2 linked regions of the Saccharomyces cerevisiae S288C genome follow. Changing the gene in region 1 together with any one later gene gives a genetic interaction. Each region holds a gene or a part of one and is shown in the gene's direction. Other genes may lie near its edges.

Region 1 (4,912 bases):
ATTCATCTACATATGCATTTCACGCGTAAATAGGTTGATCTACAAACTTTGAATGAATTTTTCCATTGGCTCGTTGCCATTTACCAACGAAATGGTTTTTTTCACTGTTGCATTTGGATGTAGCAAGCTTTCCACAATAAAAGAAGCTACATCCTCCCTGTTAATGGAGTAGTTAACAGAAGCCTTCTCTTCTAATTTGTCAAGGGGTTGCAAAAGACCGGTACCTTTATTTAGTTCCAACGATCCAGGCTGTAAAATAGTGTAATCCAAATTAGAGTTTCTAACCTCACGATCAGCAGATCTCTTTGCAATATAGTATTCACGCAAACCCTTAATGTTATACCAAAAATCTCTATCCTCCGCCTTGAGCGCTGAAACAACAACGAACCTTTTGATACCAGCCTTTTCGCATGCTTCAACAACTTTGATACAGCCATCCAGATCAACCGTGAAAATTCTTTCCATTCCTTTACCACCCGCACCGGCGCTAAAGACCACGGCATCATAAGCCTTAATAGCGTCTGTGATCTCACTAACGGACGCGTTTTCTATATCTGTCAAACTAGCATCAACACCTACTTCATTCTTGAAATAATTGACTTGATCCTGTGTTCTAACAATCGCTAATGGTGTTGAGAAACTATCGTTGGCCTTCAATTGGTTTATCAATAAACGTCCAACTTTACCACTGGCACCGACAACCGCAACTTTCATAGGAGACATGGCTGTTAAGTCAATAATATATGAATACCGATGATATAACTTCAATGAATTTTTATTTGGAGGGAAAGTATCCTATTATGAGCGTCACGATGGGACTTTAAATATATATCCCTACTTCGAGTGTACCCTTACGTAATACTTGCAGCCCCTTGCTGTTGACAGCGCGATACAATTTTCGTACTAAACAATCACAGAGGTAACAGCAAAGTTTGGAAAGTACTTTTGTTGGAAAGTTATTACGGCCACTAACATTGTCTCGTCGTATTATTAAAAGCTATAACGTCGTATTTCTTTGCTCGCTTGTGTTTTGTGATACAGGAAACACACACCAACAGGTTCACCGAGGGCTGTTGTCTGTCTTTGTACTTTAACTCAAAGAACTTCTGTTTCACGATTTGTATTAATAGTTCTTGCAGGCTACTAGGCTGAATACGTTAAAATGGTTAGCAACGAATATAACCAGAAATACTTCGGGTACAATTCTGATACGTATATTTGTAGATATGTCTCGCTTGATGTTGCCAACTTTGTCAAAAATGGTAACGTATGGGCACACGGAATGTGCTAATCCTCGACTTTGCTCTTTCGTAAACCAATTTGATGCAAGTGCAGCGTGGTCTTTTGAAAGTGCATTATCTCATTGGGCGATGCGAAAACTCTGCCTACAGAAGTTCGCCGTTAGATAATTCTGATTGTAGAAAACCTACCAAAGAGAATAAACTAAAGTGTCATCTGCTAATTTATGATCTTATCGTCTGAGTGATGATGTATGTTTCTCTTTGTACGGTTCGTCTTGTGCTCATGTACGTAACATCCTCCATATGTGTGAATTATTTTGTCCGGCGTCTTGTTTGAATATCCCATCCGGACGTATTTCTTTATAGGATAACGCATGCACATATCGGTTCGTTCAATAAGAAAGTCCCTTCTGGTATTATTCGGTGTCCTGTAAGATCTATATACTAATCACCAAGCTATCTGGTGTCACATTGTGAATACATTTGTCTTTTGGTCCATTTTTCCCCATCATTTTCTCGTGAAAACGATCTCTAACTTTTGCCACTATAGTTTTAAAGGAAAGATTTTGAGCTGCCAACGAATACAATATAGCACACTCAAGAGTCTTGGCAAGCAACTTTAAAGTTAGAAAGAGTACTAATGTTGCTACTTTCTTGGTCAAGAATTGCTACTAAGGTAGTTAGAAGGCCCGTTCGCTTCCGGTCCTATTACGGCTTGACCCATATCAAGAGTTTACATACTCAATATCGGCTACTCAATAGGCTGCAAGAGAATAAGAGCGGTAACAAGAACGAGGACAATAACGAAGACGCTAAACTTAACAAAGAAATTCCCACAGACGAAGAGGTTGAAGCAATAAGAAAACAAGTAGAAAAATATATCGAACAAACTAAAAATAATACTATACCGGCTAACTGGAAAGAACAGAAACGCAAAATTGATGAAAGTATTAGGCGTTTAGAAGATGCTGTATTGAAACAAGAATCTAACAGAATTCAAGAAGAAAGAAAGGAAAAAGAGGAGGAAAATGGTCCTTCAAAAGCCAAGTCAAACAGAACAAAAGAGCAGGGCTACTTTGAAGGTAACAATAGCAGAAATATTCCACCGCCACCACCACCTCCTCCCCCAAAACCACCTCTAAATGATCCTAGTAATCCTGTATCGAAAAATGTTAACTTATTCCAGATAGGACTAACTTTTTTCCTCCTTTCGTTTTTATTGGATCTCCTCAACAGTTTGGAAGAGCAAAGTGAGATAACGTGGCAGGATTTTAGAGAGAAACTATTGGCAAAAGGTTATGTTGCGAAGTTGATTGTTGTCAACAAGTCCATGGTGAAAGTGATGTTAAATGACAACGGAAAAAACCAAGCCGACAATTACGGTCGCAACTTCTATTATTTCACAATTGGTTCAATTGATAGCTTCGAACACAAACTTCAGAAAGCACAGGACGAACTGGACATTGATAAGGATTTCAGAATACCTGTACTATATGTTCAAGAAGGCAATTGGGCTAAAGCTATGTTCCAAATTTTGCCAACTGTTTTAATGATTGCAGGTATTATTTGGTTGACAAGAAGATCGGCACAAGCAGCGGGCGGTAGCCGTGGAGGCATATTTGGTCTGAGTCGTTCTAAGGCTAAAAAATTTAACACTGAAACAGACGTTAAGATCAAGTTCAAGGACGTTGCCGGATGCGATGAGGCTAAGGAAGAAATTATGGAGTTTGTTAGCTTCTTGAAAGAACCTTCTCGTTATGAAAAAATGGGAGCTAAAATTCCTAGAGGTGCGATTCTATCTGGTCCACCAGGTACCGGTAAAACTTTGCTTGCAAAGGCAACAGCAGGTGAAGCCGGTGTTCCGTTTTATTTTGTTTCTGGTTCAGAATTTGTAGAAATGTTTGTTGGTGTTGGTGCAGCAAGAGTAAGAGATTTGTTCAAAACTGCAAGAGAAAATGCACCCTCAATTGTGTTTATTGACGAAATTGATGCTATAGGAAAAGCAAGACAAAAGGGTAATTTTTCAGGTGCCAATGATGAGAGAGAGAACACGCTAAATCAAATGTTAGTAGAAATGGATGGTTTCACTCCAGCTGACCACGTTGTTGTTTTAGCTGGTACCAATAGACCCGATATTCTCGATAAAGCATTATTAAGGCCTGGTAGATTTGACAGGCATATCAATATCGACAAGCCCGAACTTGAGGGTAGAAAAGCCATTTTTGCTGTTCATTTACATCATTTGAAACTTGCCGGGGAAATTTTTGATTTGAAAAATAGATTAGCGGCTTTGACGCCAGGCTTTTCTGGTGCTGATATTGCCAACGTTTGTAACGAGGCCGCCTTGATTGCTGCTAGAAGTGATGAAGATGCAGTAAAATTGAATCATTTTGAACAAGCTATCGAAAGAGTCATCGGTGGAGTGGAACGCAAATCCAAGCTACTCTCTCCCGAAGAGAAGAAAGTAGTGGCTTACCACGAGGCTGGTCATGCTGTATGTGGATGGTACTTAAAATACGCAGATCCTCTTCTGAAAGTCAGTATTATTCCACGTGGCCAGGGCGCCCTTGGTTATGCACAGTATTTGCCAGGTGATATCTTCTTACTAACTGAACAGCAACTTAAGGACAGAATGACCATGTCTCTGGGTGGAAGAGTTTCTGAAGAATTACATTTCCCATCAGTTACAAGTGGCGCATCTGATGACTTCAAAAAAGTTACTAGCATGGCCACGGCAATGGTCACAGAATTAGGCATGAGTGATAAAATTGGCTGGGTCAATTACCAGAAGAGAGATGATAGCGATTTGACAAAACCATTTTCGGACGAGACAGGTGACATTATTGATTCCGAAGTATACAGAATCGTCCAAGAATGCCATGACAGATGTACAAAGCTGCTTAAAGAAAAAGCAGAAGATGTAGAGAAGATTGCTCAAGTACTACTGAAAAAAGAAGTTTTGACAAGAGAAGATATGATTGATTTACTTGGTAAGCGCCCTTTCCCAGAAAGGAATGATGCTTTTGATAAGTACTTGAACGATTACGAAACGGAAAAAATCAGGAAGGAAGAAGAAAAAAACGAAAAACGTAATGAGCCTAAGCCATCTACAAACTGATTGATATTTCACAATACAAAGAAATGGAGGAAGACTGTTCTACATATCTTGCTTATTTTATTGAAAGCCAGACATCTTTCTTTTTCGGTAGAACACTGTCACGTATTTACCATATAATCTAATCTGAAAACATGTAAATATATATACGTGTATAAATGCACCTATATCTATATATGATCAAAGCGCTTCTGTGAGGCTGTCATTGGTTAATACACGCGATCTTTTTTTTATCGCTGATTCCACGGCTTAGCCTATCTTATCTTCAGTATTCGCATGATACACTTTTTCACTGCGTCGTTTTGTTGGATGATATCTGTCCGACAATAAACGTAGGTCATCTTAAGGGCCGGTGATAGAGAAGAGCATGCGGTTCCACTTTAGGCCAACCCACATTCCCAAAATATAAGAATACAGCAGCGATTTTTTTCTATCGAATTATTTTGTTTTTTGTCTCCTCTTTGTTCTTCACTAAGCTCAGAGCCCTAGTTGTTGAGGGAACAAGAAGAATGCAAACACTAGACGAGACTTCAAATCTACTCCCTCCACCTGAGGA
Region 2 (7,560 bases), on another chromosome or scaffold:
TATGACAATTACTAATTTCGATATTATAGATTTACAAAAAACTGTTGTAGATATGTTTGGCAATCAGGTCCATACTTTCAAAAGCTCAGCAGGCAAGGAAGATGAGGAAAAAACTACCAGCTCGAAAGCTGACGAGAAAACTCCGAAGTTGGAATGTTGTAAATACCAGGTGACTTTTACAGACCAGAAGGCTCTTCAAGAGCACGCAGACTATCATTTAGCATTGAAACTGTCGGAAGGCTTAAATGGTGCTGAAGAATCATCCAAAAACCTTTCTTTCGGGGAAAAAAGATTGTTGTTTTCACGGAAAAGACCAAACTCACAACATACTGCCACACCTCAGAAGAAACAAGTTACATCTTCCAAAAACATCTTATCATTTTTTACAAGAAAAAAATGACCTATTCCAAATAGACAATTATATGGCTTCAGCAACTAAAACGTCCTGATAATATTGCTTTTCCAAAATTTCTAAATGATTCACGGGCGCCAGGTTTTGTTGATAAGAAGAACGAAGTACCTTTAATATCTTATGATCGGAAAATACCGACTGATGACTTTTGAGACTTCGCTTTTGATCAAAGTGATAACATTATGTACAATATTCATACTAGGATTTCTTGATAGAGATTTGGAAGTCTATAAAAAAGAAACAACTTGTTATAATTTATTTTTGTAGACATGACTCACAGAATATTACATACCTTCATAATATATAAGATCCATGTGATAATGAATGCTGGAAGCATGATCTCTGACCTCAGCTGATTGTTCAGGGGACTTAATCAATTAGATGCGTTTAAAGCAGGAATTGGTTTGATACACACAATCTCATGTTACAAAGTAACGCTGTTTAAAAACAAATCTGAAGAATAATAATGCAAGTAATATTATACATCATAAAAAAGTTATACACTATCATTACTCTTCTGAAGACCAGATTACAATACAAATTAAGGCAACTTGGCCGAGTGGTTAAGGCGAAAGATTAGAAATCTTTTGGGCTTTGGCCCGCGCAGGTTCGAGTCCTGCAGTTGTCGTTATTTTTAATGTTTTTATTTGGTAGCAACAAAATTTGTCAGTCAATTTCTTTTGTTTTTTTCTTTAAAAGGTGTAACAACGTTATCACTCAAGTATTCGTTTCTTATTATCAAAAGTCTTAGACTTTCTATTAATAGCAGTTTGTTCTTTTCCACAACGCGCTAAAGATATTTCGCTTTCTGACCCGTTTGGTTGCAGAAAATTTTTTTAACTAATTTAGGAATATTTAGATTAGTTAATTGGAGGGCTTATTCAAAGACAGTAGTTACAGCGATTTAAAAGCAGTGTCCCTCGTAGGCACCTGTAGTCATTTCATTCGTTTGGATATTTCGCTGTACTGCTTCCTGCATTGTAATCAAGAGAAAGTTTACAACTTAGAGCACTAACTTTGTTTGTAAACATTTTCCGTTTATAATCAATTGCCATATCATCAATTTTATTATCATTCTTTAACCAGTAACTAACTGATTCCGCACCCACATTATTGAAATTTTTGCGATATCTTTTTCCTCAACTGACGCAGTCAACAGTCAGAAACAGAGAATGTATAAAGATGGTCTCATTGAAAATAAAAAAAATTTTACTCCTGGTGTCATTGTTAAATGCAATCGAGGCCTATAGTAACGATACAATATATTCAACTTCATACAATAATGGAATAGAAAGCACACCCTCATATTCAACATCCGCGATATCCAGTACCGGATCTAGCAACAAAGAGAATGCAATAACATCAAGCTCTGAAACCACCACAATGGCTGGCCAATATGGTGAAAGTGGAAGCACAACAATAATGGATGAACAAGAAACTGGTACGTCCAGCCAGTATATTAGTGTGACGACGACAACGCAAACTTCTGACACGATGTCATCAGTAAAAAAGTCTACGGAAATAGCGACACCAAGTAGTAGCATTGTACCCACCCCTTTGCAGTCCTATAGCGATGAATCACAAATATCACAAACGCTTAGTCACAATCCGAAGTCCGTGGCGGAGTCAGATAGCGATACAACCTCCTCGGAATCCTCAAGTAGCGTAATAATATCCACATCCGATAGTTCAGCGGTACCGAGGGAAATAAGTCCAATAATAACCACAGATTCTCAAATTTCCAAAGAAGAAGGCACATTGGCTCAAACTTCCAGTATCAGTGAAACAACGAGAATTGCACAAATGGTAACCAGAGTTTCACAAATCTCCAGCATAACGGCAGCTTCAACAATAGATGGCTTTAGTAGTGAATCAACACAAACAGATTTTTCCAACACTGTATCGTTTGAAAATTCAGTCGAAGAAGAATATGCCATGAGCAAATCCCAGCTCTCTGAAAGTTACAGTTCAAGTTCAACCGTCTATTCTGGAGGGGAGTCGACTGCAGACAAGACATCTAGCTCCCCCATTACCAGCTTTTCATCTTCTTATAGCCAAACAACGTCAACTGAAACCTCTGAGAGCAGCCGAGTGGCTGTTGGAGTATCCCGGCCCTCTAGCATAACGCAAACTACATCAATTGATAGTTTTAGTATGAGTGAAGTAGAGCTTTCCACATATTATGACTTAAGTGCTGGCAACTATCCTGACCAAGAACTGATTGTCGATCGCCCGGCCACTTCTTCCACTGCCGAAACATCTTCAGAGGCAAGTCAAGGTGTAAGCCGTGAATCTAACACTTTCGCAGTATCTTCGATTTCCACGACAAACTTTATAGTTAGCAGTGCTTCGGATACTGTTGTTTCAACTTCAAGCACCAATACAGTGCCATACAGCTCTGTCCATTCAACCTTTGTTCATGCGACTTCCTCGTCGACTTATATTTCTTCTTCCCTTTATTCTTCCCCATCCTTATCTGCATCCGTTTCCTCTCACTTTGGCGTTGCTCCTTTTCCATCTGCTTACATATCTTTCTCATCAGTACCCGTTGCAGTATCCTCGACGTACACGTCTTCACCATCGGCTTCTGTTGTAGTACCTTCTGCCTATGCGTCTTCACCATCAGTACCCGTTGCAGTATCCTCGACGTACACGTCTTCACCATCAGCACCTGCTGCAATATCCTCAACGTACACGTCTTCACCATCGGCACCTGTTGCAGTATCCTCGACGTACACGTCTTCACCATCGGCACCTGCTGCAATATCCTCAACGTACACGTCTTCACCATCGGCACCTGTTGCAGTATCCTCGACGTACACGTCTTCACCATCAGCACCTGCTGCAATATCCTCAACGTACACGTCTTCACCATCGGCACCTGTTGCAGTATCCTCGACGTACACGTCTTCACCATCAGCACCTGTTGCAATATCCTCAACGTACACGTCTTCACCATCGGTACCTGTTGCAGTATCCTCGACGTACACGTCTTCACCATCAGCACCTGCTGCAATATCCTCAACGTACACGTCTTCACCATCGGCACCCGTTGCAGTATCCTCGACGTACACGTCTTCACCATCAGCACCTGCTGCAATATCCTCAACGTACACGTCTTCACCATCAGTACCCGTTGCAGTATCCTCGACGTACACGTCTTCACCATCAGCACCTGCTGCAATATCCTCAACGTACACGTCTTCACCATCAGTACCCGTTGCAGTATCCTCGACGTACACGTCTTCACCATCAGCACCTGCTGCAATATCCTCAACGTACACGTCTTCACCATCGGCACCCGTTGCAGTATCCTCGACGTACACGTCTTCACCATCAGCACCTGCTGCAATATCCTCAACGTACACGTCTTCACCATCGGCACCCGTTGCAGTATCCTCGACGTACACGTCTTCACCATCAGCACCTGCTGCAATATCCTCAACGTACACGTCTTCACCATCGGCACCTGTTGCAGTATCCTCGACGTACACGTCTTCACCATCGGCTCTTGTTGTCCTGTCATCTACTTCCACATCCTCTCCATATGATATTGTTTACTCTCCATCAACTTTTGCTGCCATATCATCCGGTTACACGCCTTCACCTTCTGCTTCTGTCGCCATGTCATCTACTTCCTCATCCTCTCCATATGATATTGTTTACTCTCTATCATCTTCTGCTTCCAGATCGTCCATTGCTACATATGAATTTTCACCTTCCCCATCTACTTCTTTACCCACCTCTTCTACTTACACATACTTTTCATCTGCTTATGCGTTTGAATTTTCTTCTGAGCGGTACTCAACAACATCCACAATAGCACCAACTCAAATACATAGCACATTGTCCAGGATTACGGATTTCTTACTGCAGACTTCGATGGCAATCCAAAGTATAGTCTCTCAGCAAATTTCTACAAGCTCAACTTTAAATGACGAAATACATTCAAGCGCGCTTTCCGTTTTCAACCCTTCAGCTTCGAATTTGGTTGAAACTTCTCTGATAATTTCATCGACCCAAGCAAGCATAACAAGCCCCAAAAACTCAGCTAAAATTAGTTCACTACAGAGCCAGCTGTCTAGCAGTACAAAAAATCCATACGATACGGCGAACAAGAATACTGAGACCAGTGGCAGATCCACAGTTGTTTCGAATTTCCTATACACATCTTCCGCGGCGAAACCAGACAATGAAAAGTTTTCCGCTACTCCTACAGAGATAACTACAATTTCAAGTAGCTCGCACGCATATTCTTTATCTATTCCAAGTTCTCATAATTCTGTGACTGGACTATCACATAACTTTGTCGATTCGTCAAAAAGTGCAACCTCATTTGGCTACTCATCCTCATCAATATCTTCAATAAAACTTTCAAAAGAAACAATACCTGCAAGTAAATCTGTTTCAAACACACAAGAAAGAATCACAAGCTTTACATCAACATTACGAGCAAATAGTCAGTCTGAAAAATCCGAAGGGAGGAATTCTGTAGGTTCTTTACAAAGTTCACATATTTCATCTAACCCATCGCTCTCCACAAATACAAAGGTTGATTCGAAAAGTTTATCCAGGAAAGTATCGAAAACCATGGGCGAAAATGGCGAGGAAACCGGCTTAACCACAACAAAGACGCAATACAAAAGTTCTTCTGAAACCAGTGGGTCATATTCTCGGTCTTTTACAAAAATCTCAATTGGACCTGCTACGACTGCAGTTCAAACTCAGGCAAGCACTAATTCAGTATTCACAGCCCCTGCCTTGTCTACCTATCCTACTACTCCGTACCCCTCTCCAAATAGTTACGCATGGTTACCTACCGCTATTATAGTGGAATCATCCGAAACGGGCCCCACTACCGCATCATTCAATCCGTCAATCACTGGTTCACTTCCCAATGCAATTGAACCGGCCGTCGCTGTATCGGAACCCATTAACCACACTTTAATTACCATCGGATTCACGGCCGCTTTGAATTATGTATTTTTGGTTCAAAATCCATTATCTTCGGCTCAAATCTTCAACTTTTTACCTCTCGTTTTGAAGTATCCCTTTTCAAACACCTCATCAGAACTGGACAATAGTATTGGGGAATTATCCACTTTTATTCTTTCATACCGGTCTGGGAGCAGCACAACTACCCTTTCCCCAAAATCCATATCATCATTATCAGTTGTCAAGAAAAAAAAAAACCAGCAGAAAAAAAATGCCACGAAGTCAACCGAGGACTTACATCCTCCACAAGTCGACACATCCTCAATAGCGGTGAAAAAGATTGTTCCCATGGTAGACTCTTCTAAGGCATACATTGTATCAGTTGCAGAGGTATATTTTCCAACAGAAGCCGTAACATATCTTCAGCAATTAATCCTTGATGAAAATTCGACTCTTTATAGCAATCCTCAAACCCCACTGCGAAGTTTAGCTGGTCTAATAGATAGTGGGATCCCATTAGGGGGATTGACGTTATATGGCTCTGGAGATGGTGGTTATGTCCCTAGTTTAACCTCATCAAGCGTCTTGGATTCTTCAAAAGGAAATTCCCAAAACATAGATGGAACTTACAAGTATGGAGCTTTGGATGACTTTATCAATTCATTCACAGATTCTGCATCTGCAGGAAAGTATGCTGTAAAAATAATCATCTTTTTGATTGTTTTAACTATTGGCGTACTCTTGTGGTTATTCGTTGCATTTTTTGCTTTCCGTCATAGAAATATATTATTGAAAAGACACCCAAGGAACTGCATAGGGAAAAGCCTCAATAATGAGAGGGAACTTGAAAGTACCGAGCTTTCCCGCTCTTCTTCTGGAAACCAAGTTTATAATGAAAAGCCGCCAGAATCTGAAAATGAAAGTGTTTACTCTGCGGTAGATGATCATTATATTGTGACTGGCGAAAACACAGTCTATAATACTATTCACAGATTACATTATACCATTAATGATGACGGTGATCTATTGTACAGGGACGCAATCCCCCTCGATTTTGATCAAACCAATGGGGATGATGGTTCGGGAATAGACAGTATAGTAAGAGACTGCGTGTATGACAAAAACCAAGATGCTACGGAAGCCTTCTTGAATGATGAGGAGTCCATATCAGGCATTCTAGATGTTGATGAAAATGGTGATATTCGATTATACGACAGTTATTCTGACAATGAAGAGTCAAACAGTTTTCACTTGCCAGACGAAGTTATTGAAAACTATAACAAGAACCATTTGTGCGAAACTAAACTTCATGGACTAGGCACTGAATCATGTACTACAGATGATCCCGATACTGGAAATCAAATTACGAATGAGTTTTCTACAGGGAGTCAGACATGTTTGCCAAGTACCGCTTATACCACACCCCTTCATACAAATTCGATTAAACTTCACACATTACGCTACACAGAATCTTCACTACCAAAGCCAAATCAGACTCTTTTCTCTAATCTTGAAGATTTAGAAATAGAGGATATTGACGACAATGGTAGTGTTTCAGATGTACATATCGAGGAGCTGGATGCTTTAGACGAAGAACTTTATAAGAGAATGTCGAAAGTTATAAAACAACAGAACCATCAAACGACAAAAATATAGCGAAAAATGATTATTGACTGTGCAATAAACGCTGCTGGAAGGGGCGCTTGCAACAAAAGATGATCACAAAAATTGATACCCATTAATACACATAGGCTCACGCCATTACTATTATTATATATATCATCAAGTATTGCATTTGTAATTTTATGAGTCCTTCTTAGTAATACATGAAGGCTTTTTTTTAATATTTTCGGAATCAACGAGAGTACACTATTCTATCCGATGATAACCGAGATAAATGAAGATAGTAACTAACCAATGAAAAAAGAGCGAGAATAAATTAAAGCAATAATATCAAGTTAGTCGTGGGAATATATGATCCACGCATAATAAGGTTACATTAAGCACTGCTTTATCCTCTATGTCTGCTAAGAAAAGGCCTTCGGGAAACGCAGCATTTGAACTTCCAAAACGGAGAAGAACCTACCAAGCTTGCATCAGCTGCAGATCAAGGAAGGTGAAATGTGATCTTGGTCCGGTTGATAACCCACACGACCCACCGTGTGCACGTTGCAAAAGGGAGCTAAAAAAATGTATTTTTAGCTCTAATAAGG

Evidence for each region.
Region 2: mutations in YTA12 (region 1) and HKR1 are lethal when combined (synthetic lethality), as found in Saccharomyces cerevisiae (one large-scale study listed by BioGRID).

The regions. Positions count from the first base shown.
Region 1 is NC_001145.3:445,056-449,967, reverse strand, and holds YTA12 (m-AAA protease subunit YTA12), read left to right. Parts: upstream 1-1,881; coding exon 1,882-4,359; downstream 4,360-4,912. Other genes in the region: YMR090W (uncharacterized protein), read right to left, coding at 40-723; VBA1 (Vba1p), read left to right, coding at 4,866-4,912.
Region 2 is NC_001136.10:1,304,673-1,312,232, forward strand, and holds HKR1 (Hkr1p), read left to right. Parts: upstream 1-1,594; coding exon 1,595-7,003; downstream 7,004-7,560. Other genes in the region: RAD30 (DNA-directed DNA polymerase eta), read left to right, coding at 1-400; ARO80 (Aro80p), read left to right, coding at 7,368-7,560.